Saccharomyces cerevisiae S288C: one gene and its partners. Changing the gene in region 1 together with any one later gene gives a genetic interaction. Each region holds a gene or a part of one and is shown in the gene's direction. Other genes may lie near its edges.

Evidence for each region.
Region 2: mutations in PMT2 (region 1) and SEC66 together harm fitness more than expected from each alone (negative genetic interaction), as found in Saccharomyces cerevisiae (4 studies listed by BioGRID).
Region 3: mutations in PMT2 (region 1) and IRE1 together harm fitness more than expected from each alone (negative genetic interaction), as found in Saccharomyces cerevisiae (4 studies listed by BioGRID, with this or other methods).
Region 4: mutations in PMT2 (region 1) and ALG6 together harm fitness more than expected from each alone (negative genetic interaction), as found in Saccharomyces cerevisiae (5 studies listed by BioGRID, with this or other methods).

The regions. Positions count from the first base shown.
Region 1 is NC_001133.9:103,627-111,982, reverse strand, and holds PMT2 (dolichyl-phosphate-mannose-protein mannosyltransferase PMT2), read left to right. Parts: upstream 1-3,431; coding exon 3,432-5,711; downstream 5,712-8,356. Other genes in the region: CCR4-NOT core exoribonuclease subunit CCR4, read left to right, coding at 1-1,137; nucleoside transmembrane transporter FUN26, read left to right, coding at 1,553-3,106; mitotic regulator LTE1, read left to right, coding at 6,111-8,356.
Region 2 is NC_001134.8:576,154-580,532, forward strand, and holds SEC66 (Sec63 complex subunit SEC66), read left to right. Parts: upstream 1-2,210; coding exon 2,211-2,831; downstream 2,832-4,379. Other genes in the region: NPL4 (nuclear protein localization protein 4), read right to left, coding at 191-1,933; SMY2 (Smy2p), read right to left, coding at 2,997-4,379. UniProt on the Saccharomyces cerevisiae protein: Acts as a component of the Sec62/63 complex which is involved in SRP-independent post-translational translocation across the endoplasmic reticulum (ER) and functions together with the Sec61 complex and KAR2 in a channel-forming translocon complex.
Region 3 is NC_001140.6:255,550-264,935, reverse strand, and holds IRE1 (bifunctional endoribonuclease/protein kinase IRE1), read left to right. Parts: upstream 1-3,344; coding exon 3,345-6,692; downstream 6,693-9,386. Other genes in the region: LAM4 (Lam4p), read left to right, coding at 1-2,135; SAE3 (Sae3p), read left to right, coding at 2,383-2,495, 2,582-2,744; YHR078W (uncharacterized protein), read right to left, coding at 6,918-8,576; NMD2 (Nmd2p), read left to right, coding at 9,180-9,185, 9,299-9,386. UniProt on the Saccharomyces cerevisiae protein: Senses unfolded proteins in the lumen of the endoplasmic reticulum via its N-terminal domain which leads to enzyme auto-activation.
Region 4 is NC_001147.6:325,993-333,571, forward strand, and holds ALG6 (dolichyl-P-Glc:Man(9)GlcNAc(2)-PP-dolichol alpha-1,3-glucosyltransferase), read left to right. Parts: upstream 1-3,424; coding exon 3,425-5,059; downstream 5,060-7,579. Other genes in the region: PHO80 (Pho80p), read left to right, coding at 1-138; exosome nuclease subunit RRP6, read left to right, coding at 840-3,041; putative subtilisin-like protease YSP3, read left to right, coding at 5,463-6,899. UniProt on the Saccharomyces cerevisiae protein: Dolichyl pyrophosphate Man9GlcNAc2 alpha-1,3-glucosyltransferase that operates in the biosynthetic pathway of dolichol-linked oligosaccharides, the glycan precursors employed in protein asparagine (N)-glycosylation.

The DNA.
Region 1 (8,356 bases):
GACAACAGACCAGAGATTCCCTTACCGCATGAACGTAGGTTCATCGAAATCAATACCGATGGGGAACCACAGAGGGAGTACGATTCTTTGCAGCAATCCACTGAGCATCTGGCCACCGATTTAGCCAAGAGGACGTTCACCGTCTTATCCTACAACACCTTATGTCAACACTATGCCACCCCAAAAATGTACCGTTACACACCGTCGTGGGCGTTAAGTTGGGATTACAGGCGCAATAAATTAAAGGAGCAGATTCTCTCGTACGACAGTGATCTGTTGTGTTTACAAGAAGTGGAGTCTAAGACTTTTGAAGAGTATTGGGTGCCCCTATTGGACAAGCACGGTTATACAGGCATCTTCCATGCAAAGGCAAGAGCCAAGACCATGCATTCCAAGGACTCCAAGAAAGTGGACGGGTGTTGCATTTTTTTCAAAAGGGACCAATTCAAGTTGATCACCAAAGACGCCATGGATTTCAGCGGTGCTTGGATGAAACACAAGAAGTTCCAAAGAACTGAAGATTATTTAAACCGTGCAATGAACAAAGACAACGTTGCACTGTTCTTAAAGCTACAACACATTCCTAGTGGCGACACCATATGGGCGGTCACCACGCATTTGCACTGGGATCCAAAATTTAATGATGTCAAGACATTCCAAGTAGGTGTCCTGTTAGATCATCTGGAAACGCTGCTAAAGGAGGAGACATCGCACAATTTTAGACAGGACATTAAGAAATTTCCTGTGCTCATTTGTGGTGACTTCAATTCATACATCAACTCCGCCGTATACGAATTGATAAATACAGGCCGTGTCCAAATACATCAAGAGGGAAATGGTAGAGATTTCGGTTACATGTCGGAGAAAAATTTCTCACATAACTTGGCTCTCAAATCAAGTTATAATTGTATCGGAGAACTACCATTCACCAATTTCACACCGTCATTCACAGATGTTATCGACTATATATGGTTTTCTACACATGCTCTAAGGGTGCGTGGGCTATTGGGTGAAGTGGACCCTGAATACGTGAGTAAGTTTATCGGGTTCCCCAACGACAAATTCCCCAGTGACCATATACCATTGTTAGCAAGATTTGAATTTATGAAGACAAACACAGGCAGTAAGAAAGTATAAACCGCACACTTTCATCCCACTCCCTCCCTCCTCTCTGTACACTACCTCATTATAAAATTGAAACGATCCCAATCTCACCGCACTTCCCATAAAGCCTTCACGTTATACTTTTTTTTCTCATCTTTTTTTTCTCTCTCTCTCTCTCTCTCTTTTGCGTATCTTTTTCGTCCTGTTTCTTTCTTACTTAAGTATCTTTTTATAATATTTAAGAGAGCCAAAATTATTTAACCAAACCAAGAATCTTGTATTCTATAACGAATCCTTAATTCTTCTTGTTGTTATTAATGCCAAAAACAGAATTAATTTCCCGAAAAAGAAAAAAAAATTGACTTAAAAAATCATAGGAAAGGATGAATGATTTACGTTACGGCGACAGCTTATCATCAAACGCAAGAAAGCATACCAGATTGCAAAAATGAGTACTAGTGCGGACACTGATACCATCAAGAAGCCAATCCTTGCGGTGCCAGAGCCTGCACTGGCCGATACGCATTCAGAGGAGATATCACGCTCTGGAGAAGAACATGAATCAGAGAACAACGAGCACTCAGATGAAGAAGGCGATAATTATTCTGAAAGAGAGCAATCTGTGTCAACCGAACCACTGGATACATTGCCGTTAAGAAAAAAGTTGAAAAATCTTTCATATATTACATTTTTCGCCATAGGAATAGGTCTTTTATGGCCGTGGAACTGTATCCTCAGTGCCTCGCAATATTTTAAGCACGATATTTTCAAAGACACCTCCATTTGGGCAAAGATCTTCACAAGCTCTATGATGTCCTTTTCTACCATATCGTCAATGCTGTTCAACATCTACTTGGCCAAAAGACAGTACAAATACTCGAGAAGGGTCATAAACGGGCTTGTGTGGGAGATTATTGTCTTTACTGTCATGTGCTTCTTTACAATTTTGCATTTCCTTTTACCTAAATGGTTCAATTTCATGTTTATAATGATGCTTGTAGTGATCAGTTCCATGGGGACAGCCATGACACAGAATGGTATCATGGCCATAGCCAACGTCTTCGGTTCCGAGTACAGTCAAGGTGTCATGGTGGGGCAAGCCGTTGCTGGTGTCCTGCCCTCCCTAGTGCTTTTTGCCCTAGCTTTCATCGAGAACTCTTCTGTGTCTACTACGGGCGGGATTCTTCTATACTTTTTTACCACAACACTCGTGGTCACCATTTGTGTGGTCATGTTCAGCGTGAGCAAAATCAGTCGGAAAGTGAACGAGAATTGGAATGTGGAAGACGGACATATCACTGATGTGTTGTTAGGGTCTCTGCGCTCCAATGAGGAGGAAATCCGTATTGTTGGCCGCATTGACCAAATGGAGGATGAAGACCACCGCCGCACCAACGGCACTCGCGACGACAACGACGAAGGTGAGGAACTCCAACTAAAAGTGCCTTTCGAGGTCTTATTTGCCAAACTAAAGTACCTGGTTCTTTCCATATTCACCACGTTTGTCGTAACTCTTGTTTTTCCTGTATTTGCGTCTGCCACCTACGTGACAGGGCTTCCTTTAAGCAACGCACAGTACATACCTCTCATATTCACGCTGTGGAACCTAGGCGACCTTTACGGAAGAGTCATTGCCGACTGGCCCATGTTCCGTGACCAGAAATTTACGCCACGCAAAACCTTCATCTACTCATTGTTGCGGGTGGCCGCAATACCACTGTTCTTGATGTTCACAGCCATCACCTCCTCTTCAAGCGGCGATGAAGAGCACAATGGCTCCGTAATCGTTGACTTGTGTTACATGCTACTGCAGTTCCTTTTCGGCGTAACCAACGGGCACGTCATCTCTATGAGTTTCATGAAGGTGCCAGAGCAACTGGACAACGACGACGAGAAGGAAGCGGCCGGTGGATTCACTAATATTTTCGTTTCTACAGGACTAGCTCTGGGCAGCATCATAAGCTACGTATTCGTCTTCATAATTGACTTTATTATCAGGTAGATAGATACTGTACATACCGAAACGCCATCATTTACAGTCGTGATACGATTTACTGTCACTTAGCAATAATATCTCGTACATAGCGACAAACATACATATTATTGGACACGTCGCCCTGAAAAAAAAAAACATAAGAAAAGAATACGAAAAAAAAGAACGAAAGAACTTACGGAAAGATCCGTTTCGTGTACTGTTTATTAATAGTGTTGCATTCTTTTTGAGGGTAAAAAAAAGGTCATTTCTCGAGACTAACAACATTACCAAGGAGAACCGGCTTAGTCCACATCGCTACTGTCATTCTGTTTCGAACCGTGGTCCAGCAATCATGTCCTCGTCTTCGTCTACCGGGTACAGCAAAAACAATGCCGCCCACATTAAGCAAGAGAATACACTGAGACAAAGAGAATCGTCTTCCATCAGCGTCAGTGAGGAACTTTCGAGCGCTGATGAGAGAGACGCGGAAGATTTCTCGAAGGAAAAGCCCGCTGCACAAAGCTCACTGTTACGCCTGGAATCCGTTGTAATGCCGGTGATCTTTACTGCATTGGCGTTGTTTACCAGGATGTACAAAATCGGCATCAACAACCATGTTGTTTGGGATGAGGCGCACTTTGGTAAATTTGGTTCTTATTACTTGAGACACGAATTTTACCACGATGTCCATCCTCCCCTAGGAAAAATGCTGGTCGGGTTGTCTGGTTATTTGGCAGGCTACAACGGTTCTTGGGACTTCCCTTCTGGGGAAATTTACCCAGACTATTTGGATTATGTTAAAATGAGACTGTTCAACGCGTCATTTTCCGCGCTCTGTGTGCCATTGGCCTACTTCACTGCCAAAGCTATTGGATTTTCTTTACCAACAGTTTGGCTGATGACCGTGTTGGTTTTGTTTGAAAACTCGTATAGTACTTTGGGCAGGTTCATTCTTTTGGACTCCATGCTACTTTTCTTCACTGTCGCATCGTTCTTTAGTTTTGTTATGTTCCACAACCAGAGGTCCAAGCCGTTCTCTAGAAAGTGGTGGAAATGGCTGTTGATCACTGGTATTTCTTTGGGTTGCACTATTTCCGTCAAAATGGTGGGTCTATTTATCATCACTATGGTCGGTATCTATACTGTGATTGACTTATGGACCTTTTTGGCAGATAAATCCATGTCATGGAAAACCTATATTAACCACTGGTTGGCAAGAATATTTGGTCTTATTATCGTCCCCTTCTGCATTTTCCTATTGTGCTTCAAAATACATTTTGACCTATTATCGCATTCTGGTACAGGTGATGCTAACATGCCATCTCTTTTCCAAGCAAGATTAGTGGGTTCTGACGTCGGACAAGGCCCCCGTGACATTGCTCTAGGTTCCTCCGTTGTTTCCATCAAAAACCAAGCTCTTGGAGGATCTCTATTGCACTCACATATACAAACTTATCCAGATGGGTCCAACCAACAACAAGTAACCTGTTATGGTTACAAAGATGCTAACAACGAATGGTTTTTCAACAGAGAAAGAGGCTTACCATCATGGTCAGAAAACGAAACTGACATCGAGTATTTGAAGCCAGGTACCTCCTATAGATTGGTACACAAAAGCACGGGCAGAAACTTGCACACCCACCCAGTTGCTGCACCAGTGTCAAAGACACAATGGGAGGTTTCTGGTTACGGTGACAATGTTGTTGGTGACAACAAAGACAATTGGGTTATTGAGATCATGGACCAAAGAGGAGATGAAGACCCTGAGAAGTTGCACACATTGACCACCTCTTTCCGTATCAAGAACTTGGAGATGGGCTGTTACTTGGCTCAAACCGGTAACAGTTTGCCCGAATGGGGTTTCAGACAACAAGAGGTTGTCTGCATGAAAAACCCATTCAAGAGGGACAAGAGGACCTGGTGGAACATCGAGACCCACGAAAATGAAAGGTTGCCACCAAGACCCGAAGATTTTCAATACCCAAAGACCAACTTCTTAAAAGACTTCATTCATTTAAATCTAGCCATGATGGCCACTAATAACGCTTTGGTGCCAGATCCAGACAAATTTGATTACTTAGCTTCCTCAGCATGGCAATGGCCAACTTTGAATGTGGGTTTGAGACTATGTGGCTGGGGTGATGATAATCCAAAATACTTCCTATTGGGTACCCCAGCTTCCACGTGGGCTTCTAGTGTTGCCGTCCTCGCATTCATGGCCACGGTCGTTATCTTACTGATCAGATGGCAAAGACAATATGTGGACCTAAGAAATCCATCTAACTGGAACGTTTTCTTAATGGGCGGGTTCTACCCACTACTAGCTTGGGGCCTACACTACATGCCATTCGTTATCATGTCTAGAGTCACCTACGTTCATCATTACTTGCCTGCCTTGTATTTTGCACTGATCATTTTGGCGTACTGTTTCGACGCCGGTTTGCAAAAATGGTCCAGATCTAAGTGCGGCCGTATCATGCGGTTCGTCCTATACGCCGGATTCATGGCACTTGTAATTGGTTGCTTCTGGTACTTCTCCCCAATATCATTTGGTATGGAGGGACCAAGTAGTAACTTCCGCTACTTAAACTGGTTTTCCACTTGGGACATTGCCGACAAGCAAGAAGCATGAATTAAGATCATCGTAGTAAGTACATAAGTAAAAAACAAGAATTAAATAAAATTTCTATATCAACCAGCAGAAGAAGTGGTCTATATAAACCACTATATAATGAATTTCGATAAACACTCTTTAATTGTTAACCAGGCTGTTCTCCTTACTCATCTTTGCGATCCGATGCTGTTTTATTACCCTTCTATTTTTTCCTTTCTGCATTTTGATTTTCGCGAATAATGAAATTCTTGATCTTTTTATCAACAATGAAAAAAAAACTGTAAACAGAAACTGATAATTTCTTGAACCCTTTAGCCCACCCCAACCGTACTCGTGTTATTCGCTCGTTGATTTACGCGAACCTTTTTGTTTGCTTTACATAGCCTCTAGCCATTCAAAGATTCGCTACCCTGAACCATGGAAATATTTAGCCAGAAAGATTACTACCCGACTCCATCCTCAAATGTTATTAGCTATGAAAGCGATTGTGTATCCAAACCAGTGAATAGTGCAGACCTGCCCGCGTTAATTGTACACCTTTCTTCCCCTTTGGAAGGTGTAGACTACAACGCATCTGCAGATTTTTTCCTTATTTATAGGAATTTTATAACGCCTCAAGACTTACACGACTTACTCATCTATAGATTTCGATGGTGTATTAGGGAGATCACAACAAATGCTGCAAAAGCTAAGAGAAGGCGAATTGGTGAAGTTGCCCTCGTGAGGACGTTTGTGTTGTTGAGGCATTCCATACTGAATTATTTTGTGCAAGATTTTTTACCGAACATAACATTAAGACTTCGGTTGATCGAGTTTCTAAACGACAAACACATTGAACAGTACCCAAAAATAATTTCCAGCTGTATAATCAATCTGAAAAAAAACTGGGTGCATTGTTCTAAGTTGGTTTGGGAGAATATTGAACTAAATGAACCTGATAAATTAGACTTTGATGCATGGCTGCATTATTCGTTAAAGGATTTCACGCAACTAGAAAGCCTACACAAAAGAGGAAGCCGACTGAGCATTTACGCCAGGCAAAGTTTTGCCAGTCCTGATTTTCGTAACCAAAGCGTTTTATCATTATATAAAACTTCTGATGTATTTAGACTGCCGGAGAAGCTACAGTCTTCAAATTCTTCCAAAAACCAGAGAAGCCCTTCTATGCTTTTATTTCCCGATAATACATCAAATGTTTACTCGAAGCACCGAATAGCGAAAGAACCTTCAGTTGATAATGAAAGCGAGGACATGTCAGATAGTAAACAAAAGATCAGCCACTTGTCAAAAGTCACTCTAGTATCCACACTAATGAAAGGCGTAGACTACCCGTCATCATATGCAGTCGATAAAATAATGCCTCCAACACCGGCTAAAAAAGTTGAATTTATTCTGAATTCCTTATATATTCCTGAAGATTTAAATGAACAAAGCGGAACGCTTCAAGGTACATCGACGACATCATCTCTAGATAACAATAGCAACAGTAATAGTAGATCTAATACATCTTCAATGTCTGTGTTACATCGCAGCGCTATTGGTCTTTTAGCTAAGTGGATGAAAAACCATAATCGCCATGATAGCAGTAATGATAAAAAATTTATGAGTGCTATTAAACCAGCAAACCAGAAACCTGAAATGGATGCGTTTGTCAAATACGTTGTATCAATATCATCTCTCAATAGAAAATCTTCCAAGGAAGAAGAGGAAGAGTTTCTTAACTCTGATTCTTCTAAATTTGACATCCTAAGTGCAAGAACCATAGATGAAGTGGAGTCCCTACTGCATTTACAAAACCAGCTGATAGAAAAAGTTCAAACACATTCGAATAACAACCGAGGTCCTACAGTTAATGTTGATTGTGAACGTCGGGAACACATACATGATATAAAGATTTTACAACAAAATAGCTTTAAACCGAGTAATGATAATTTTAGCGCTATGGACAATTTGGATCTGTATCAAACCGTAAGTTCAATTGCTCAGTCAGTCATCTCTTTAACTAATACTTTAAACAAGCAACTGCAGAACAATGAATCGAATATGCAGCCATCACCCTCGTATGATGCACTGCAACGAAGGAAAGTAAAAAGTCTCACGACAGCATATTACAATAAAATGCACGGTAGCTACTCAGCAGAAAGTATGAGGCTCTTTGATAAAGATAATAGTTCTTCACGTACAGACGAGAATGGACCTCAAAGATTGTTATTCCATGAAACTGATAAAACCAACTCAGAAGCGATTACAAATATGACACCAAGGAGGAAAAATCATTCCCAATCCCAAAAAAGCATGACTTCTTCGCCTCTGAAAAATGTTCTACCTGATCTTAAAGAATCGTCTCCCTTAAACGATAGTAGGGAAGACACAGAATCAATAACATACTCATACGATTCCGAGTTGTCATCCAGCTCTCCACCCAGAGATACTGTAACGAAAAAGTCAAGAAAAGTCAGAAACATCGTGAATAATACAGATAGTCCAACTCTAAAAACAAAAACTGGATTTTTAAATCTAAGAGAGTTTACATTTGAAGATACCAAGTCTTTAGATGAGAAAAAGAGTACTATAGATGGCCTTGAAAAGAATTATGATAACAAAGAAAATCAGGAATCAGAATATGAGAGCACAAAAAAGCTGGACAACTCACTCGATGCATC
Region 2 (4,379 bases), on another chromosome or scaffold:
AATTTGTAAAAGCGACTCCCAGTTATTGTTCCTTAAAACTCCTCGTATGATGTGATTTTTGGTAAGGGGACGTTCTAGAAACGTCTACTATTTTGGATGATTTACATAGTTTTAAAATAAAAAAGGCTCAATTTTACCTTCCGCGCATTTCTATTTTTTTAATCTAAAACCTCAAATCTTACAGTCTCTCCTAGCCGCTTTCCTGAAGGATCATGACTAACGTTTGCCAACCAGCCGATGAGACAAGTTTTAGTAGAGATTCTTCCCATTCATTTTTCACAGCAGATTCTATTAGTAACTTCCATTCGTCTGGAGAGAGTATCTGCAGAGAATTTATGTATAATAGTAAATGAAAGTTCGAGATTTTTTCATGCAAAAGATTGAAATCTCCACTTGAAGCCACATTGAATAAATACTTTTTTAATTCTTGATAATCTTGAGATTGCCCCATAGCTTGTCGATTGCTCCATGGAAATCCGGTGGAACTAACGAATTTCGAGTTGGTTTCCGTATCGGTATTCGGGAACCCATGAGTCAGCGTCACTAAAAGATAGTCTACCGGAAATGCAGGCTTCGCATTTTCCTTCACTGTTATACCATATTCATTCGACTTCATGTAAAATATCTCAGGTACATATCTTTCATCTGTAGTGTCATTAATATATGCCATTGAAGGAAATGTGGACCCACTTATCATATCTGCAGTAACCAATGCTTCAGCTTCTGTGGATACTTGGTAGCTCGAAATATCAATTTCACCTTCCAAATTACCTGATATAACGCAAGTTACAAACTTGGAAGAAAAAAAACCTTGTTCGCTATACTTGCTTACATTAGGATGCCTTGTTTGATGCCTAGCAGCCATAATAACTTCTAATGATGAAAGAAAAAACGAATCCTTATGTCTTTTGCAAAAAACAGACCCATCCCCAGCTCCCGCGTCAGATAAATCTGTAAATATTAGGCCAATTCGCGAAAGCCCCATTTCTTGAGCCTGTCTATCAATCTGTAGCATTTCATTCTTGACCTGTTCTACGTCCATGGTTAAACCGTCTTGCTCATCATGCTGAGGGGGCTCGTATATCGCCTCAACGACGGCCTTTATACCTAAAGGTGTGTTATCATACTTAGAATAAGATCCGTACATATAGCCAAATCTTTGCATACCCGTGTACCTCCACGCCTGAATAAATTCATTAATTATTTCACTCTTCTGAAATTCAACGTGGTCAACCATTCTAAATTCTTGCTGTTGTAATGTAATTGCCGATGGTTGACATTTAGAACATATCCCCCGAGGCCATGGTTCATGGCCATTATGGCAACGCTTATTGATTCTAAAATCAGGTTCTGAAAGAGGGGAAATATAAGAGCTGCCGTTCTCCTTCTTATTAGCATTTTCATTTAGCTTTTTAAGATATGAATGAAACGATATATGTTTGATCTTATTCTTCTCATGATATTCTTTGTCCCAAGGAGGTAAAGGCGAGCAGTATTCACACATACCTCTATCACCGTGCTTGCATAGTTTTGATTTTTGACGAGGAATTAATCCGTCCTCTTTCTCTAGTTCCTCATCTACAGCGAGTTCTTTGATCCTTAGTGGACCGTACCTGTGTTGACGAATTCCCTTGCTGTCAATACCTACGGATCCGATTTCAACATTGACACCATCTTTCTCATTAGCGGGCTTGTCCGAATAGTTAAGGATCAGCATGTCACCGTGCTTTAGTCCTAGATCCATCACTGTTCGATCAGCTAGTTCAGAAACAGCATGAATACCTTGACCGGGCTTCTCACAAACAGTAAATGTGTCGACATCGGCATTGGGGTCCAGATTACCCACCAACTTTTCAATGACCGTTCCGAAAAGGTCGTTTTCTTGACAAGAAACCCTGTGTGTACCGTTTTTTGATCTAAATCTGATAAGCATACTTCACTTAAATGTATATCGATATCAGTAGTATAGGGAAATTTTTCTTCAGAGTACTGTCCTATTATTTGCCACTCTTCGTTCTGTATGTTACGAGGGCGTTCCTTAAAATGGGTAGACGCATCTTATTACCCGCCAAAAAACGTCAAAAGTTTTAGGAACACGTCTAAAAGTTGAAATAATATGTGAAAAAATTGATGAAATATTAATGAAATGGCTTATTTAAACGAATTCAAGTACAGGAAAGAGGTACGCACAACTACTTGAGTTTGCCAATATGTCCGAATTTAATGAAACAAAATTCTCCAACAACGGGACGTTTTTTGAAACGGAAGAGCCAATTGTGGAGACGAAATCAATCTCCGTTTATACCCCACTCATATATGTCTTTATTCTGGTGGTGTCCCTTGTGATGTTTGCTTCAAGCTACAGAAAGAAGCAGGCCAAAAAAATTAGTGAGCAACCATCCATATTTGACGAAAACGATGCCCATGATCTGTATTTCCAAATAAAGGAAATGAGTGAAAATGAAAAAATTCACGAGAAGGTGTTGAAGGCCGCTTTATTGAACAGAGGAGCAGAATCTGTTAGACGATCATTAAAGTTAAAAGAGTTGGCTCCTCAGATAAACCTTCTATATAAAAATGGCTCTATTGGGGAGGATTACTGGAAGAGATTTGAAACTGAAGTTAAATTAATTGAATTGGAATTTAAAGATACTTTACAAGAAGCTGAAAGATTGCAACCGGGCTGGGTTCAATTGTTCGTTATGGTTTGTAAAGAAATTTGCTTTAATCAAGCTCTCTCTAGACGTTATCAATCAATCTTGAAACGGAAAGAAGTGTGTATTAAAGAGTGGGAGCTGAAAATAAATAATGATGGAAGATTAGTCAATTAGTGCCTACTGTGTGCAAAGATATGTATTCGCTCGTTCAGTGTTTTTTTAAAAATATGTATAGAATTTGTCATTATCTGCGTTAAAAAATAGTTATAAAGTATATACAATAACAATAAATGATAAAGAAATATGCAGTGAAAAGAAAAAATTATGAAGCTTTTCCTTTCAGTGTTTTCTACCCTTCTTCTTGCTCACTACTTGGAATTCCCAGCCGTCGTCATCATTGCCTGATAGAGCTAGCGCTTCATTCCAACTTAGTGGATCATCACCTTGTTTTTCGCACGCAACACGTCTTTTAATAAATTCAGTGGCAAATCTTCTACCATCCATAACGTCACTATTGGCATAAATTGTTTCTTGAATCAATTCTTTAGATTCTGGCCCCGTAGGTAAACTCAATAATAGTTCTAAGACATTGTTATTGGTTATTCCAGAATTTAATTTCATCTGTGATTTACACCATTTGATAAATTCTTGCCGGGGAGAAACATTGTTCATGCTAGCAAAGGTAGTGGTAGTAGAAGTTGTGCTAGTTTTTGCCGTTAATGAAGAATTTAAACTGGTATTGGTTTTTGAATATGGGGAGACAACGGTTCCTATAGGTGCTTTCCCTTTAGAAGTCACCGTAGTCCAAGAAGATGTGGTAGTAGATGCAGAGGATGTGGACTTTACTTGTTTGGAAGAACTCTGAACCTTTTCCCATAGTTTTTTCTGCTCTTCTATGAAATTTGGATCTTCCAACTCCTTTAACGGAGACGACTCTTTCATCCCTTTTGGGCTTTTTTGAAACTGAGATTTAATATCAATAGTTTGATTCGATGGTAGGCTGGACTTGTTAGCCCAGTTAAGCACGGATTTTAGTTCCTCCTTTTGCTTTTCTTCTTTGCTGTTCCTCTGTTGTAGACCTAAGGGTTCTCCTTTCTTCTTTCCAGTGCTACTTACACCATTTTTAATTGAAGTTTCGATTGCATTGTTAACTTTGACTTTTGAGGCCCATGGTGCCGGATTCGCGCTTGAGGAATTTAATGAAGGCAAATCTTTTGATGTCTTAAAGCCTTCTGTTTGTGTTTGTGTGTCCTTTTTTGTCTTTTCTGATTTTTTTTGCTTTTCTGCTTCCAAAGCTTCTTTTTCCTTTTGTTCCTTTTGTTCCTTTTGTTTCTTCAATAAATCATCCTCTTTTTGCTTTTGTTTCTTCGATAAGCGAGCTTCTTCCTTCCTTTTGAGTTCTCTGTTCCGTTTCTCTTGTTCATCCAATAACGCTTTTGCTACAGATTCGGATTTTTCCTTCTTCCCTTTTTCCAGCATAGTGGTCGATTTGTATTCTTGCTTGTGAGATTCATCTGTTTGACTAATGGTGGTTGCTGAGGCTAATTTAATATCGACTCCCTTGGAGGTGGTACCTCCATCCATATCCCAGATATTGTCATGTGTCAATGGCTTGAAAATATCGTTTTCAGTAGCTTTAATAGTGCCAGTAGCGGCAACACCGCTTGCGTAAGGAGCTAGATTCAAGTTGATAGAATCAGAGCTGGTTGTTTGAACGTGAAG
Region 3 (9,386 bases), on another chromosome or scaffold:
ACACGTTTGCCTCTTTCACTTCAAGAGATGCTACATATGATTTAATTACTGAAGTATGGAATCAAATAATTTTGGGAAAGAGGTTTCGTAGCAACAGTAATAACACTAATAGCAGCTCCAATTCTATCAGTGATGATGAAAATGACGATTACGATGATGATTACGATGATTATGGAGATGATGATGACGATCTTTACGATAATAGCAATAACATATCTGATTCTACCGACATGACATCAAGCGTCAGCATAGGAAAGCCGGAAGATTTACCCATGCCTCTACAAACAGACACCCCTTATGGAACAGGAATTCCACCACTAGGTCCAAAAATTCACTCACCCACAGAAACAGTATACAAACCAGCGCCCAATGAAAAATTAGTTAACGAATCAACAATACACGCTTCGTTAGGGCGGGTTGTCAATATATTATTCGGGAAAGATGTCAGTTATATTATGGCCATTTTAAAAGCGCAAAAGAATAGTGATATTTCGCCAATCCCTGTTCTCGTTGATTCACCCACGGTTTCTGAAGGTAAAAAGAGAGATTATTCCTACGTAAAAACAACACCAGGTGCCATTGGACCCGGTAAAACTAAATGCATGATAACTGAAACCATTCAACACTTTAACTTAGAGGAGTATGTTCAAGTCTTGCAAACAACAAAAACTCCGGATGTTCCTTCTGGAAATTCATTTTATGTGAGAACAGTTTATCTTTTATCATGGGCAAACAACAATGAAACAAAACTAAAACTGTATGTCTCTGTTGAATGGACAGGTAAAAGCTTGATCAAAAGTCCTATTGAAAAGGGTACATTTGATGGTGTAACGGATGCAACAAAGATATTGGTGGAGGAGCTTGGTAATATTTTAACAAGATCTGCTACCAAAAGGAAAAGGTCTTCGAAGGAGAACACTGTTACAGTATCAACTTTACCGAAAATGGAACCTAGCTCACATGCACCTACCGAGCCTGATATTCAAAAGGATAAGGATGACTCTATTATAAGGGAAAATGAGAATATACCAGCTCCATTAGGGACCGTGGTCCAATTGCTATTTGGATCGAATACAGAGTATATGCAGAAAGTTATCACTAGAGATAAGAATAATGTCAATGTGGAAACGATACCAAAATTCACGCCTTCGTTGGTTGAAGGAGGTTCAAGACACTATGAGTACACGAAGAAATTGAACAATTCTATCGGACCTAAGCAAACAAAATGTTTACTAACCGAGTCTATTGAACACATGGATATCAATAACTATGTTTTGGTGACACAAACAACTAAAACTCCAGACGTCCCCTCTGGTAGCAATTTTGCAGTAGAAAGTAAAATCTTTCTATTCTGGGGGCAGCATGACACCACGAATATGACCGTTATAACAAAAATCAACTGGACAAGTAAATCATTTTTGAAAGGTGCAATTGAGAAAGGATCTGTTGAGGGTCAGAAGGTTTCTGTCGATTACATGCTATCCGAGTTAAGAGACATTATTAGCAGGGCAAAAAGCAAAAAACCGGTGAAGAAAGTAATGAAGAGTCATGATAAACATAGGCCTTTCCATAGTAAGGTTGAACAGAAAAGTTCCGAAAGCCGTAAGAGCGATGATAATAAAGACATTTTAACTCATATTTTGGATTTCGTTCAGAATAATTTTAGTTCAGAAATTTTTATGAACAAATTGCTGAGTCCTCAAAAACTATTCTTGATCTTGGGGTTGACCATTATGCTTTTCTGGTCTCCTCGGCTTCACGTGTTTCAAGAAAAAAATAATCTTCAAATCATCAAGCCAGGAAGGCTGCTGATTGATGGTCAAGAATATAATTACGTGCCCAGTTTCGGCACACTGTATAACTCATATGAAAACGCCATATCATCTAAGAAGAAGAGAGAAAATGTAAATTACGCAAGGGATAAGAGTCCTATTGTAGGAAGGGAAAGCGATATTTGGGATTGGATCAGTAACAGAGGGAGTGCAATATCACCTCGAGGTCGTGCTATGTTGAGAAACGATGACGAACACAAATTGCAGCAATTATCAGAAAGTATCAAAATAACAGAAATGCAACTAAATCATATGAAAACTATGTTGGACAACATTGAGAGGGACGCAAATGATCTATCTTAATAGCATTTTATATATTCTGTTTGTATTATTTAGTAATTGTATCTAGTACATATCCTGTAGCGGTTGGCCTGATTCCTTTTAAGTTAGATGACAGGCACACTTTGCATTATCACATCAGACGGAATTGTTCTGCCTAATGGCGGCTATTCTATTTCTGCTTCATAAATGCAAAGACAGAGTATAAGAATAATTTTAAATTAAAAGCAATGGTCTTATCCTTGCCATAAACAGAAGACAACTTGCAAGTATGAACTATTTGGAAACACAGTTAAATAAAAAGCAAAAACAGATACAGGAATACGAAAGTATGAATGGCAACCTGATAAAGATGTTTGAGCAATTGTCTAAAGAAAAGAAAAAGTATGTAGCTATTTTTTCCAGTCGGCAAAAATCGGTATAACAAACAAAAAATATTTAGTTTCTGTTATTAACAGAACTTGTCAAAGTGATGAGACACCAAAAAAAATTTCCTCGACGTACATTAAAGAGTTAAAGGAGTACAACGAATTGAGAGATGCCGGTTTAAGGTTGGCCCAAATAATTGCTGATGAAAAGCAATGCAAAATTAAGGATGTTTTTGAAGAGATCGGTTATTCAATGAAGGACTAATGGGCTTTTAGGGACAGTTCTATTCTTCCAACGTGCGAAGCGTTCCAATGAAACTCTGCTGCGCGCTGAAAACTATATAAAAAAAAAAAAAGATAAAATTACAAAGAAGTAATGAACTTAAATGCTATTATACAGTTACTAATTAAGCTGCGTAGTGTGAAATATATTGATAGTTGTAGTTTTGAGGTTTTATTACCCTCTGTTATATAATAGGTTTTCGCTATTTTATTGCCGAAAATCAAGACGGAGCGTAAGCCTCTTCGGGCAATACCTTCGACTATTCCAACAATAAAATTTAAAAAAAGAGATTAATCACATAGTAACAAGAAATAAACGAAAAACATATCATAGGAGATCAATGAGCCAACTTCACATAAACTAACAGTGAAAAGTCTATAACAATATTAATTTTACACAATTAAATCTACACTATAACTGGCACTGTTAATAATCGGTAATCTGCTAAGTAACTTTTTTTTCTCATTCACAAAGCATCGTTTTCCTCTTCCCCACGTCCATTATCACTTTTCTCCATATCACCCTTCATACACATTAAAAAAACAGCATATCTGAGGAATTAATATTTTAGCACTTTGAAAAATGCGTCTACTTCGAAGAAACATGTTAGTATTGACACTGCTCGTTTGTGTGTTTTCATCCATCATTTCATGCTCAATCCCATTGTCGTCTCGCACCTCAAGGCGGCAGATAGTGGAAGATGAAGTTGCCTCCACTAAAAAGCTCAATTTCAACTATGGTGTGGATAAAAATATAAACTCGCCCATTCCTGCTCCAAGAACCACTGAAGGTTTACCAAATATGAAACTCAGCTCATATCCAACTCCTAACTTATTGAATACTGCTGATAATCGACGTGCTAACAAAAAAGGACGTAGGGCTGCCAATTCTATAAGTGTACCCTATTTGGAGAATCGTTCCTTGAACGAACTGAGTTTATCAGATATACTAATCGCAGCCGACGTTGAGGGTGGACTTCATGCTGTAGATAGAAGAAATGGTCATATCATATGGTCAATCGAACCAGAAAATTTTCAACCTCTGATAGAAATACAAGAACCTTCGAGGTTAGAAACATATGAAACGTTGATTATAGAACCTTTCGGTGATGGGAACATTTACTACTTTAACGCCCATCAAGGGTTACAAAAACTGCCTTTATCCATACGACAACTTGTATCAACTTCCCCGCTGCACTTGAAAACAAATATTGTGGTTAATGACTCTGGAAAAATTGTTGAAGATGAAAAGGTCTACACTGGATCGATGAGAACTATAATGTATACTATAAACATGTTGAATGGTGAAATTATATCAGCGTTCGGACCTGGTTCAAAAAACGGGTATTTCGGGAGCCAGAGTGTGGATTGCTCACCTGAGGAGAAGATAAAACTTCAGGAATGTGAAAATATGATTGTAATAGGCAAAACTATTTTTGAGCTGGGAATTCACTCTTATGATGGAGCAAGCTACAATGTCACTTACTCTACATGGCAGCAAAATGTTTTAGATGTTCCCCTAGCGCTTCAGAATACATTTTCAAAGGACGGCATGTGCATAGCGCCTTTCCGTGATAAATCATTGCTAGCAAGCGATTTAGATTTTAGAATTGCTAGATGGGTTTCTCCGACATTCCCCGGAATTATTGTTGGGCTTTTCGATGTGTTTAATGATCTCCGCACCAATGAAAATATACTGGTACCGCATCCCTTTAATCCTGGTGATCATGAAAGTATATCGAGTAACAAAGTTTACTTGGATCAGACTTCGAACCTCTCCTGGTTTGCATTATCTAGTCAGAATTTTCCATCTTTAGTCGAATCAGCTCCCATATCAAGATACGCTTCCAGTGACCGTTGGAGGGTGTCTTCAATTTTTGAAGATGAGACTTTATTCAAGAACGCAATCATGGGTGTTCATCAGATATATAATAATGAATATGATCACCTTTATGAAAACTATGAAAAAACGAATAGTTTGGACACTACGCACAAATATCCACCTCTGATGATTGATTCGTCCGTTGATACAACCGATTTACATCAGAATAACGAGATGAATTCACTAAAGGAATACATGTCACCAGAAGACCTTGAGGCATATAGAAAAAAGATACACGAGCAAATATCGAGAGAATTAGATGAAAAGAACCAAAATTCTTTGCTACTGAAGTTTGGAAGTCTAGTATATCGAATTATAGAGACTGGAGTATTTCTGTTGTTATTTCTCATTTTTTGTGCAATACTACAAAGATTCAAAATTTTGCCGCCACTATATGTATTATTATCCAAAATTGGATTTATGCCTGAAAAGGAAATCCCCATAGTTGAGTCGAAATCGCTAAATTGTCCCTCTTCATCGGAAAATGTAACCAAGCCATTCGATATGAAATCAGGGAAGCAAGTTGTTTTTGAAGGTGCTGTGAACGATGGAAGTCTAAAATCTGAAAAAGATAACGATGATGCTGATGAAGATGATGAAAAATCACTAGATTTAACCACAGAAAAGAAGAAGAGGAAAAGAGGTTCGAGAGGAGGCAAAAAGGGCCGAAAATCACGCATTGCAAATATACCAAACTTTGAGCAATCTTTAAAAAATTTGGTAGTATCCGAAAAAATTTTAGGTTACGGTTCATCAGGAACAGTAGTTTTTCAGGGAAGTTTTCAAGGAAGACCTGTTGCGGTAAAGAGAATGTTAATTGATTTTTGTGACATAGCTTTAATGGAAATAAAACTTTTGACTGAAAGCGATGATCACCCTAACGTCATACGATACTACTGTTCAGAAACAACAGACAGATTTTTGTATATTGCTTTAGAGCTCTGCAATTTGAACCTTCAAGATTTGGTGGAGTCTAAGAATGTATCAGATGAAAACCTGAAATTACAGAAAGAGTATAATCCAATTTCGTTATTGAGACAAATAGCGTCCGGGGTAGCACATTTACATTCTTTAAAGATTATCCATCGAGATTTAAAGCCTCAAAATATTCTCGTTTCTACTTCGAGTAGGTTTACTGCCGATCAGCAAACAGGAGCAGAAAATCTTCGAATTTTGATATCAGACTTTGGTCTTTGCAAAAAACTAGACTCTGGTCAGTCTTCATTTAGAACAAATTTGAATAACCCTTCTGGCACAAGTGGTTGGAGGGCCCCAGAGCTGCTTGAAGAATCAAACAATTTGCAGTGCCAAGTCGAAACGGAACACTCTTCTAGTAGGCATACAGTAGTTTCATCTGATTCTTTTTATGATCCGTTCACCAAGAGGAGGCTAACAAGATCTATTGATATTTTTTCTATGGGATGTGTATTCTATTATATCCTATCCAAAGGGAAGCATCCATTTGGAGATAAATATTCACGTGAAAGCAATATCATAAGAGGAATATTCAGTCTTGATGAAATGAAATGTCTACATGATAGATCCTTAATTGCAGAAGCTACAGATCTGATCTCCCAAATGATTGATCACGATCCGTTAAAAAGACCTACTGCTATGAAAGTTCTAAGGCATCCGTTGTTTTGGCCAAAGTCGAAAAAATTGGAGTTCCTTTTAAAAGTTAGTGATAGGCTTGAAATTGAAAACAGAGACCCTCCAAGTGCCCTGTTAATGAAATTTGACGCCGGTTCTGACTTTGTAATACCCAGTGGAGATTGGACTGTCAAGTTTGATAAAACATTCATGGACAACCTTGAAAGGTACAGAAAATACCATTCATCAAAGTTAATGGATCTATTAAGAGCACTTAGGAATAAATATCATCATTTTATGGATTTACCTGAAGATATAGCAGAACTAATGGGGCCGGTACCCGATGGATTTTACGATTACTTCACCAAGCGTTTTCCAAACCTATTAATAGGTGTTTATATGATTGTCAAGGAAAATTTAAGTGACGATCAAATTTTACGTGAATTTTTGTATTCATAACATGTTCATGCCCCTCTGCTTCTTCTTGGTTGATTATTGCATTAATGTTACTTTGATCATTAGTAGTAACCATCCATAATTTTTACGCCCTTGCATAAATGAAAAAAAGTTGTACTTCTTCATGAACCTATACTACTTTTCTCATCCCTACATAAACTACCCGACAGACATTTAATTTTATAAATACATATCTCATAAACATCGAACATCGACATACTACTCCAGTTATTCAACACTGACTTTTTTGGTGGAAAGCTTTCGTTCTGCAATTCTTATGCAAATAAAGGTAAACACACATGCAAAAGCGTAGACTTCATCAAACCAAGAATCTATGACAATGTTTGGGACGGTAAACTTTCCACCCAATAGCTCCTTTAATCTTTGTGATACTTCAAAAGGGAGATGGGACCTAACCATTAGCGTTGTAGCCAAAACGTAGACGCCAGTCAACTCTGACACCACCAGATTTTTTATCAAAGATATTCCTTTTTGTTCCTGAGAATAGTTTCTCTTTTTTCCCTTATAGGAAGAGTTATTGGTGTACTCTGGAAGTACATTAGCAGTGTCATCATTCTGCATGGCGAAAAGTGCAAGAATCTGGAACTTTATGGGCAAAAGGGTCACAACGTAGGAGATGGTGGTATTGACAGCAGAAAGACAGCAAAGAAAGAGAGAAATTGACAAAAATAACGATATCTGTTTTGTTAACGAATCGAGATCGTGCTGGTAATTGAACCTGAAAAACGAAAAATCCAAAATATTTGCTATCGTAATGGCTAAAGGATCGGATGCTGCATTTTCACTAAAATTTTCATAATCGTAGTCATCTGGATATTTGAGCGAGTGGTATATGATATAGGGGATTCTTTTCAGGAAAGTTATTATTAGTTTATGAAGACAGTATATGATAAACCCGACTTCAAAAGCTTTCTTAAAAGTGCGTACCTGAGGGGACTGTTGTAATAATGCTTCCAATTTCCCAAGCTCCAGTTGATACCAGGCGATTTTTTCCATCAACTCTGCTTTAAAAGTTGAGTTTTCTCCGACCTCTTCTTCTAAACTTCTTAATATTTGTACATTTTGTTCAATGTTGTGTTCATAATCTTGGATTTTTTCCTCTATATAGGCGTCTGTTGTCCATAAGAGAGATTTACTGTTATTGTTGCTGTTGTTGATGTTTCTAAAACTGGGGTCTGACATTGGTGTATTACGAAACTTGTGCCAGATGACTAAAAAGTTGTAGTATAAACTAGAAACAGTGGCTAACCCAGATAGGGAAGCCATGACTGTGACGCCTCCGATGGACAATCTAGTTAGAATATTTTTTGTGTACTGGAACGGTCCAATATTTATGTAACTTAACAGCGCAATAAGTGTGGACAAGATTATGCATGTCACTATTATCAACCTATCGATATCGAACTTGTCATTGTAGAATTTATTCAGTAACGATATTATAATGAAAAAGGGCTGAAATAAAATTAGTATGAAGGATAGCATGATTGCAGTCAGAGGCCACACCCAAGTCGTTATGAAAGTAACTTCCTTGTCCATTCCAGCAACCTTAATCTGCCATAGAATAATCTCTATGGTTACTGTATACGTCATCATTGCTAATGAAAAAAGGACTCGCAGTGATTGCAGTACCTTATGTGAGGGTAAAGAATACTCTGTGTAGAATTTATTTATGAAATTACCCATACTAGACACATCCTCATTCGAGCCAACTTCCATTTTGCTTGCCAACGGAATGACATTTTTCTTCGAGGAAGTTGATATAATGTCAAACAAAGACCCTACTTTAAACCAGAGCCTTTCATAGGAGCATTTGTAAGCAAATGCTCCGGATACGGAAAGCACTATAAATACGATAAGTGCCTCCATCCCGTCCACCACTTAGTCTACACTCAATAGTCCTTTCTAGTGCAGGTCCTGGAGGCAACCGCCAGAGTTGAGATCTTTTCCTTTTCTTTCCCTGCTGGTCAATTTTTATTGTTCAGGACTCGGTCATCGCAGATATCGCAATTTTTCACTCGTTTGAGTCTAGACTGTAAAATAAAACCGAATGGTTAAGCTAAAATAGACTCTGTATGACTAAGTCGTTCACTAAAGTTCATTATTTCATGCCTGAATGACCTTTATCTTAATTATGCACCATCATATAGCGTTTCTATGATCACTACGGGATATTATGATATTGTTAGGGGGTTATATTGAATATTTCTTAGGGCATGAGGATGATATTAGGGTTATTAATAGGTTTACAATTATATAATTTATGTGATAATTATCACTTGATACGAATTGATGGAGCCTGCTTCTTTTTTTTTTTTTCACTTTCTTGGCAGTCACTGAAAAACTGCATTCGAATACAGGTTTGAGAAACTAATGAGGCCCATATTACTTTACAATGAACAGTAACAATCAACTTAAATGCTTAAATAATCTAATATTGTATCTGCATTGATAATACATTGGACAGAAATTATGGACGTATGTTTGATTTATCTTACTGTGGCCAGATCGGCCTTTCAGTACTTCTAAGGTTTTATACTAACTTCTTTTATTGATCGTTGTAAACTACGGTAACAATTATGTATCAACAGGATGGACGGAAAAAAGAATTGCATGATTTGAACACCCGAGCTTGGAATGGCGAAGAAGTCTTTCCCCTGAAAAGTAAAAAACTGGATT
Region 4 (7,579 bases), on another chromosome or scaffold:
ATTGATATAGTGAGTGAAAGTGGCTCCCAAACTACTCAACTAAAGGGGTCGTCATCACCCAATTCTCACTCTTCACAAAAGCGATATTCTGAGGCAAAGGACGCACATATCTATAACAAGCGATCAAAGCCAGATTAATGATTTTTCGTGGGGTATTATGAAAGCAATCATGATTGAGCAAAATTAAAACTTTCCATTTGTACATATATATATATATATATATATATATCTGTGTGTGTATAATAAGCAATTGGCCATCATTTGGCTAAAAAGTTCAAGATTTCAGGTAGTATATAAGAGAATAACTTCCCTCTTTTGCTAAAGAAGGATATGTTCTATTTCAGCCTTTTTGCATCATAAGAGCATAAGCGACAGAAAACACTTCGAGATGAGCTTGAGAACTCCATTTCAATTAACTTGATAAATACATGTAGATTCATATCATCACTGTTCTTTTCAGATACTAGTTTCAAAACTTCCTTGACAGAACCATTTCATGTTCAATAATGAAAATTACTTTCACATGTTTTAGTGGAAAAATACTGAACAATGAAATTTCAATATCGCATATAATAATTTTTGTTATCAAATATATATTTTTCGGAAGTCATATACATTAAATAATTAAAACATTATTTTTAAAAATTAAAAAAATATATTTTAGCAAATAGTTTTTACTTTTTTTTAAATGCAAAATAAGTTCACGTGATATTATTAATAATATTTTACCCAAAAATATGAGGGCATCGGAAAATTTTTCAGTAATGAATATTAATGTTCATCTGAAGATAGACGAAATAGGAACAACAAACAGCTTATAAGCACCCAATAAGTGCGTTATGACTTCTGAAAATCCGGATGTACTTTTATCTAGGGTGATAAATGTGGTGAGAGCAGCATCATCGTTAGCCAGTCAAGATGTAGACTTTTACAAGAATTTAGACAGGGGATTTAGTAAAGATCTGAAATCAAAAGCAGACAAACTTGCGGATATGGCGAATGAAATAATCCTCTCTATTGATGAGCATCATGAATCATTTGAACTTAAAGAAGAGGACATTTCTGACTTGTGGAACAACTTTGGAAACATCATGGATAATTTGTTAGAAATGTCAGACCATTCGCTGGATAAGCTGAATTGTGCAATAAACTCAAAGTCAAGAGGTTCCGATCTTCAGTATTTAGGCGAATTTTCAGGAAAGAATTTTTCTCCCACCAAAAGAGTCGAAAAACCTCAGTTGAAATTTAAAAGTCCAATTGATAACAGCGAAAGTCATCCGTTCATACCTTTATTGAAGGAAAAACCAAATGCTTTGAAGCCACTCTCTGAGAGTTTGAGGTTGGTTGATGATGATGAAAATAACCCCAGTCACTACCCCCATCCTTATGAATATGAGATTGATCATCAAGAGTATAGTCCAGAAATTCTCCAAATTAGAGAGGAGATTCCCTCAAAATCCTGGGATGATTCGGTACCAATTTGGGTAGATACAAGTACAGAACTCGAATCAATGTTGGAGGACTTGAAAAATACGAAAGAGATTGCCGTTGATCTTGAGCATCACGATTATAGGTCATACTATGGTATTGTTTGCCTCATGCAAATTAGTACAAGGGAAAGGGATTATTTAGTTGATACTCTAAAACTTCGCGAAAATTTACATATTCTGAACGAAGTGTTTACGAACCCTTCAATTGTGAAAGTTTTTCACGGTGCATTCATGGATATTATTTGGCTTCAGCGAGATTTAGGTTTGTATGTCGTTGGTCTCTTCGATACTTACCATGCGTCTAAAGCAATCGGTCTTCCTAGACATAGTTTGGCCTATCTTTTGGAGAATTTTGCCAATTTTAAAACTTCAAAGAAATATCAGTTGGCTGACTGGCGTATAAGACCGCTTTCAAAACCCATGACGGCATATGCTAGAGCAGATACTCACTTTTTACTAAATATATATGACCAGTTGAGAAACAAACTTATCGAGTCTAATAAGTTAGCAGGTGTTCTTTATGAATCAAGAAATGTCGCAAAAAGAAGGTTTGAATATTCAAAGTACAGACCACTGACACCTTCTTCAGAAGTTTATTCTCCAATCGAAAAAGAGAGTCCTTGGAAAATATTGATGTATCAGTACAACATACCACCTGAGAGGGAAGTATTAGTAAGAGAGCTATACCAATGGAGAGATCTTATTGCAAGAAGAGACGATGAATCGCCACGATTTGTTATGCCAAACCAGTTATTGGCTGCACTTGTCGCATATACACCTACTGATGTCATAGGTGTTGTTTCTTTGACCAATGGCGTAACTGAACATGTCCGCCAGAATGCAAAACTATTAGCTAATTTGATAAGAGATGCATTACGAAACATCAAGAACACCAATGAGGAAGCTACTCCCATTCCATCTTCCGAGACCAAAGCAGACGGAATATTGTTGGAGACTATAAGTGTTCCTCAAATCCGTGATGTTATGGAAAGGTTTTCGGTGTTGTGCAACAGCAATATTTCCAAGAGCCGAGCCAAGCCTGTCACTAATTCTTCTATTCTGTTGGGTAAGATTTTACCACGTGAGGAGCATGATATTGCATATAGCAAAGACGGCTTGCCAAATAAAGTGAAGACGGAAGATATCAGGATCCGAGCACAAAATTTCAAGTCTGCCTTAGCAAACTTGGAGGATATCATATTCGAAATAGAGAAACCTCTCGTTGTTCCTGTCAAGCTAGAGGAGATTAAGACAGTAGACCCTGCGAGCGCACCTAATCACTCGCCTGAGATTGATAATCTTGATGATCTTGTTGTTTTAAAGAAGAAAAACATTCAAAAGAAACAACCAGCAAAGGAAAAAGGTGTAACGGAAAAAGATGCTGTGGATTATTCAAAAATTCCGAATATCTTATCTAATAAGCCTGGCCAAAATAATAGACAACAAAAGAAAAGGAGATTCGACCCATCATCTAGCGATAGTAATGGACCAAGGGCAGCTAAAAAGAGGAGGCCTGCCGCCAAAGGTAAGAATCTGTCATTTAAAAGGTGATTATGTAAAACAAGCGTATTTTTTTATTTATAAATTATGGTAATTTTCATTTAAGACCTCTAAATTCATCTAATCGAATATCTGTGTCATGGAGTTATGGCTCCCCCATGCACACCATTTTCTCTTTTTTTGTTTCTGTGTTTCCCTTCATCTCCTTTATTATGAAAAGTACAAGTTTTATATAATTTCAACGTCGGAGGTTATCCGGAAATCTATAGTTGAATTTTTGCAGGATTATACTTCGCTCGAATATTGTGCGTGTTAAATACTCAGCGAGAACAATACTTCCAAGTTAGAAAAGGGATTTGCTCATGTTAAAGCAATGGCACTCCGAATGGACGGTGTCAGGAATTCTTTTCTTCACATCAGGCTTCGCATAGAAAATGGCCATTGGCAAAAGGTTACTGGTGAACAAACCAGCAGAAGAATCATTTTATGCTTCTCCAATGTATGATTTTTTGTATCCGTTTAGGCCAGTGGGGAACCAATGGCTGCCAGAATATATTATCTTTGTATGTGCTGTAATACTGAGGTGCACAATTGGACTTGGTCCATATTCTGGGAAAGGCAGTCCACCGCTGTACGGCGATTTTGAGGCTCAGAGACATTGGATGGAAATTACGCAACATTTACCGCTTTCTAAGTGGTACTGGTATGATTTGCAATACTGGGGATTGGACTATCCACCATTAACAGCATTTCATTCGTACCTTCTGGGCCTAATTGGATCTTTTTTCAATCCATCTTGGTTTGCACTAGAAAAGTCACGTGGCTTTGAATCCCCCGATAATGGCCTGAAAACATATATGCGTTCTACTGTCATCATTAGCGACATATTGTTTTACTTTCCTGCAGTAATATACTTTACTAAGTGGCTTGGTAGATATCGAAACCAGTCGCCCATAGGACAATCTATTGCGGCATCAGCGATTTTGTTCCAACCTTCATTAATGCTCATTGACCATGGGCACTTTCAATATAATTCAGTCATGCTTGGCCTTACTGCTTATGCCATAAATAACTTATTAGATGAGTATTATGCTATGGCGGCCGTTTGTTTTGTCCTATCCATTTGTTTTAAACAAATGGCATTGTATTATGCACCGATTTTTTTTGCTTATCTATTAAGTCGATCATTGCTGTTCCCCAAATTTAACATAGCTAGATTGACGGTTATTGCGTTTGCAACACTCGCAACTTTTGCTATAATATTTGCGCCATTATATTTCTTGGGAGGAGGATTAAAGAATATTCACCAATGTATTCACAGGATATTCCCTTTTGCCAGGGGCATCTTCGAAGACAAGGTTGCTAACTTCTGGTGCGTTACGAACGTGTTTGTAAAATACAAGGAAAGATTCACTATACAACAACTCCAGCTATATTCATTGATTGCCACCGTGATTGGTTTCTTACCAGCCATGATAATGACATTACTTCATCCCAAAAAGCATCTTCTCCCATACGTGTTAATCGCATGTTCGATGTCCTTTTTTCTTTTTAGCTTTCAAGTACATGAGAAAACTATCCTCATCCCACTTTTGCCTATTACACTACTCTACTCCTCTACTGATTGGAATGTTCTATCTCTTGTAAGTTGGATAAACAATGTGGCTTTGTTTACGCTATGGCCTTTGTTGAAAAAGGACGGTCTTCATTTACAGTATGCCGTATCTTTCTTACTAAGCAATTGGCTGATTGGAAATTTCAGTTTTATTACACCAAGGTTCTTGCCAAAATCTTTAACTCCTGGCCCTTCTATCAGCAGCATCAATAGCGACTATAGAAGAAGAAGCTTACTGCCATATAATGTGGTTTGGAAAAGTTTTATCATAGGAACGTATATTGCTATGGGCTTTTATCATTTCTTAGATCAATTTGTAGCACCTCCATCGAAATATCCAGACTTGTGGGTGTTGTTGAACTGTGCTGTTGGGTTCATTTGCTTTAGCATATTTTGGCTATGGTCTTATTACAAGATATTCACTTCCGGTAGCAAATCCATGAAGGACTTGTAGTTACATTTTAACTTATATAACTGTACAATGTCAGTCAGACGCAACTGATATAAAAGATGTGCTCTACAAGTAAAGATTATTTCAACTCTTAAAAATATTTGAAAAATGCACTATAATTTGATCTAAATAAGGTACAGATAATGGTAAGGCAAAACTACTACATTTGGCAGTGAGTATTGTTAGCTTTTCCGCTTATTTTCTCTCCTGGAGTAGCCACCGTTCGCGTCTTCCGAGCAATGGCGAATCTCGAATCTCGGAAGGGCGGCTACTGATAACAGGCACTCATATATATATTATTAGATAAGAGTTTTTTTTGACTGAGTCCTTATAACACGTAACTTATCAAGTTGCTATATTGTAAGTTCAGGTTTCCAATCTGTTCAACCACTTTATATCTTTAAACATGAAATTCTCTACCATCTTACCTATACTTTGGGCAAATTGCTGTCTTTGTATGATCATCCCTGATTTCGACGGGATAGTTCGTTTTATTGAGAATATTGATGGTACTCGCAGTGTAAGAGCAGGAGAAGGTTTGGGACAGCATGATCCTGGAAATTTTCACACTGAACATCAACATGTCGCTCATAAAACAGAGTTTCTTCCTTATCGGTATGTCATAGTCTTTAATGAAGATATTTCCCTCCAGCAGATTCAATCGCATATGCAAGTGGTACAGAAGGATCATAGTACCTCAGTAGGTAAGCTTACAGAAAATGACGCTTTTTGGAGGGTAATTTCTTCTTCAGTATCATCTAAATCTCAATTTGGAGGTATTGATAATTTTTTTGACATAAATGGTCTATTTCGAGGTTATACTGGCTATTTCACTGATGAAATCATTAAAATAATCTCCCAGGACCCAATCATAAAGTTCGTAGAGCAAGAAACTACAGTAAAAATATCTAATTCGTCATTGCAGGAAGAAGCGCCTTGGGGTTTACATAGAGTTTCGCACAGGGAGAAACCAAAATATGGACAAGATTTGGAATATTTATATGAAGATGCCGCCGGAAAAGGTGTCACATCATATGTACTCGACACAGGAATTGATACCGAGCACGAGGACTTTGAAGGGCGTGCTGAGTGGGGAGCCGTTATACCAGCAAACGATGAAGCTTCTGATTTGAATGGTCATGGAACTCACTGTGCGGGGATTATCGGATCGAAGCACTTTGGTGTAGCCAAAAATACAAAAATAGTAGCTGTCAAAGTTCTTCGTTCTAATGGGGAAGGGACGGTTTCAGATGTTATTAAAGGTATAGAGTATGTTACTAAGGAGCATATAGAATCGTCGAAGAAAAAGAATAAAGAATTCAAAGGATCGACTGCCAATCTTTCTTTGGGAAGTAGCAAATCGCTAGCTATGGAAATGGCTGTAAATGCAGCTGTAGATAGCGGTGTCCATTTTGCTATTGCGGCAGGAAATGAGGATGAAGATGCTTGTCTCAGTTCACCAGCAGGAGCTGAAAAAAGTATTACGGTCGGTGCTTCGACATTTAGTGATGATAGAGCATTCTTTTCGAACTGGGGCACATGTGTTGATGTGTTTGCTCCCGGTATAAATATTATGTCCACCTATATTGGTTCAAGGAATGCAACTTTAAGTTTATCAGGTACTTCCATGGCGTCCCCGCACGTTGCTGGTATTTTAAGTTACTTTTTATCATTACAGCCTGCACCAGACAGTGAATTTTTCAACGACGCTCCCTCACCTCAAGAATTGAAAGAAAAAGTCCTAAAATTTAGTACACAGGGAGTACTGGGTGATATCGGTGATGATACTCCTAACAAATTAATATATAATGGGGGAGGTAAGAAATTGGATGGTTTTTGGTAGCTTTGATTTTGAATTTAGGAGCACCCAGGAGATTTTATTTTATTCTTTTCATACAGGTCAGCATAAGCCTAAGAAAGACGTTTGAAATCGCTAATCGGCTTTTTGTTCCTACGAGTAGGTTAAATTCTTTCAATAATATACATAATAAATTAGTAGTAAAGATAAACTTTTGTTCGCGATGCAGTTCTTTTGGTTGTGAATAGTTTTTTTACGAATTTATACTAGTCACTGCTAGATAAGGGTTAAGGAGGTAAATAAAATACGACAACCACTTTAAATAGGTTTCAAAACTATCCTTCAACAGATAAAAGGGTTTACCGTCAGAATCATTGAAATCTTTTAAAGGGTGTGAAACTATTTTTATCTTCCTCTGTCACCGTCCAAAGCAACCGAGCAATGCAGTGTTTTTCCTTTTAAAAACTACCTCAGATCATAGGTACAAGTTACAACTGAATGTCTACAATTGTGATCTCGGCTCGATAATGTATTCTATGTATGAGAGGCATCTTCTTGTTTTGATTATTTCTATCATTTACTAAGGAAAAAAAAAAAAATATACATGCGGTGCGATGCGATGATCTTCGGGAAGAAAAATTTTCAAGATGTCAATTAAACAATAGTATAATTATCGTGATGAGCAAGAAGGGAAGCAATCCAATAATAAAAACCAACTATTGTAA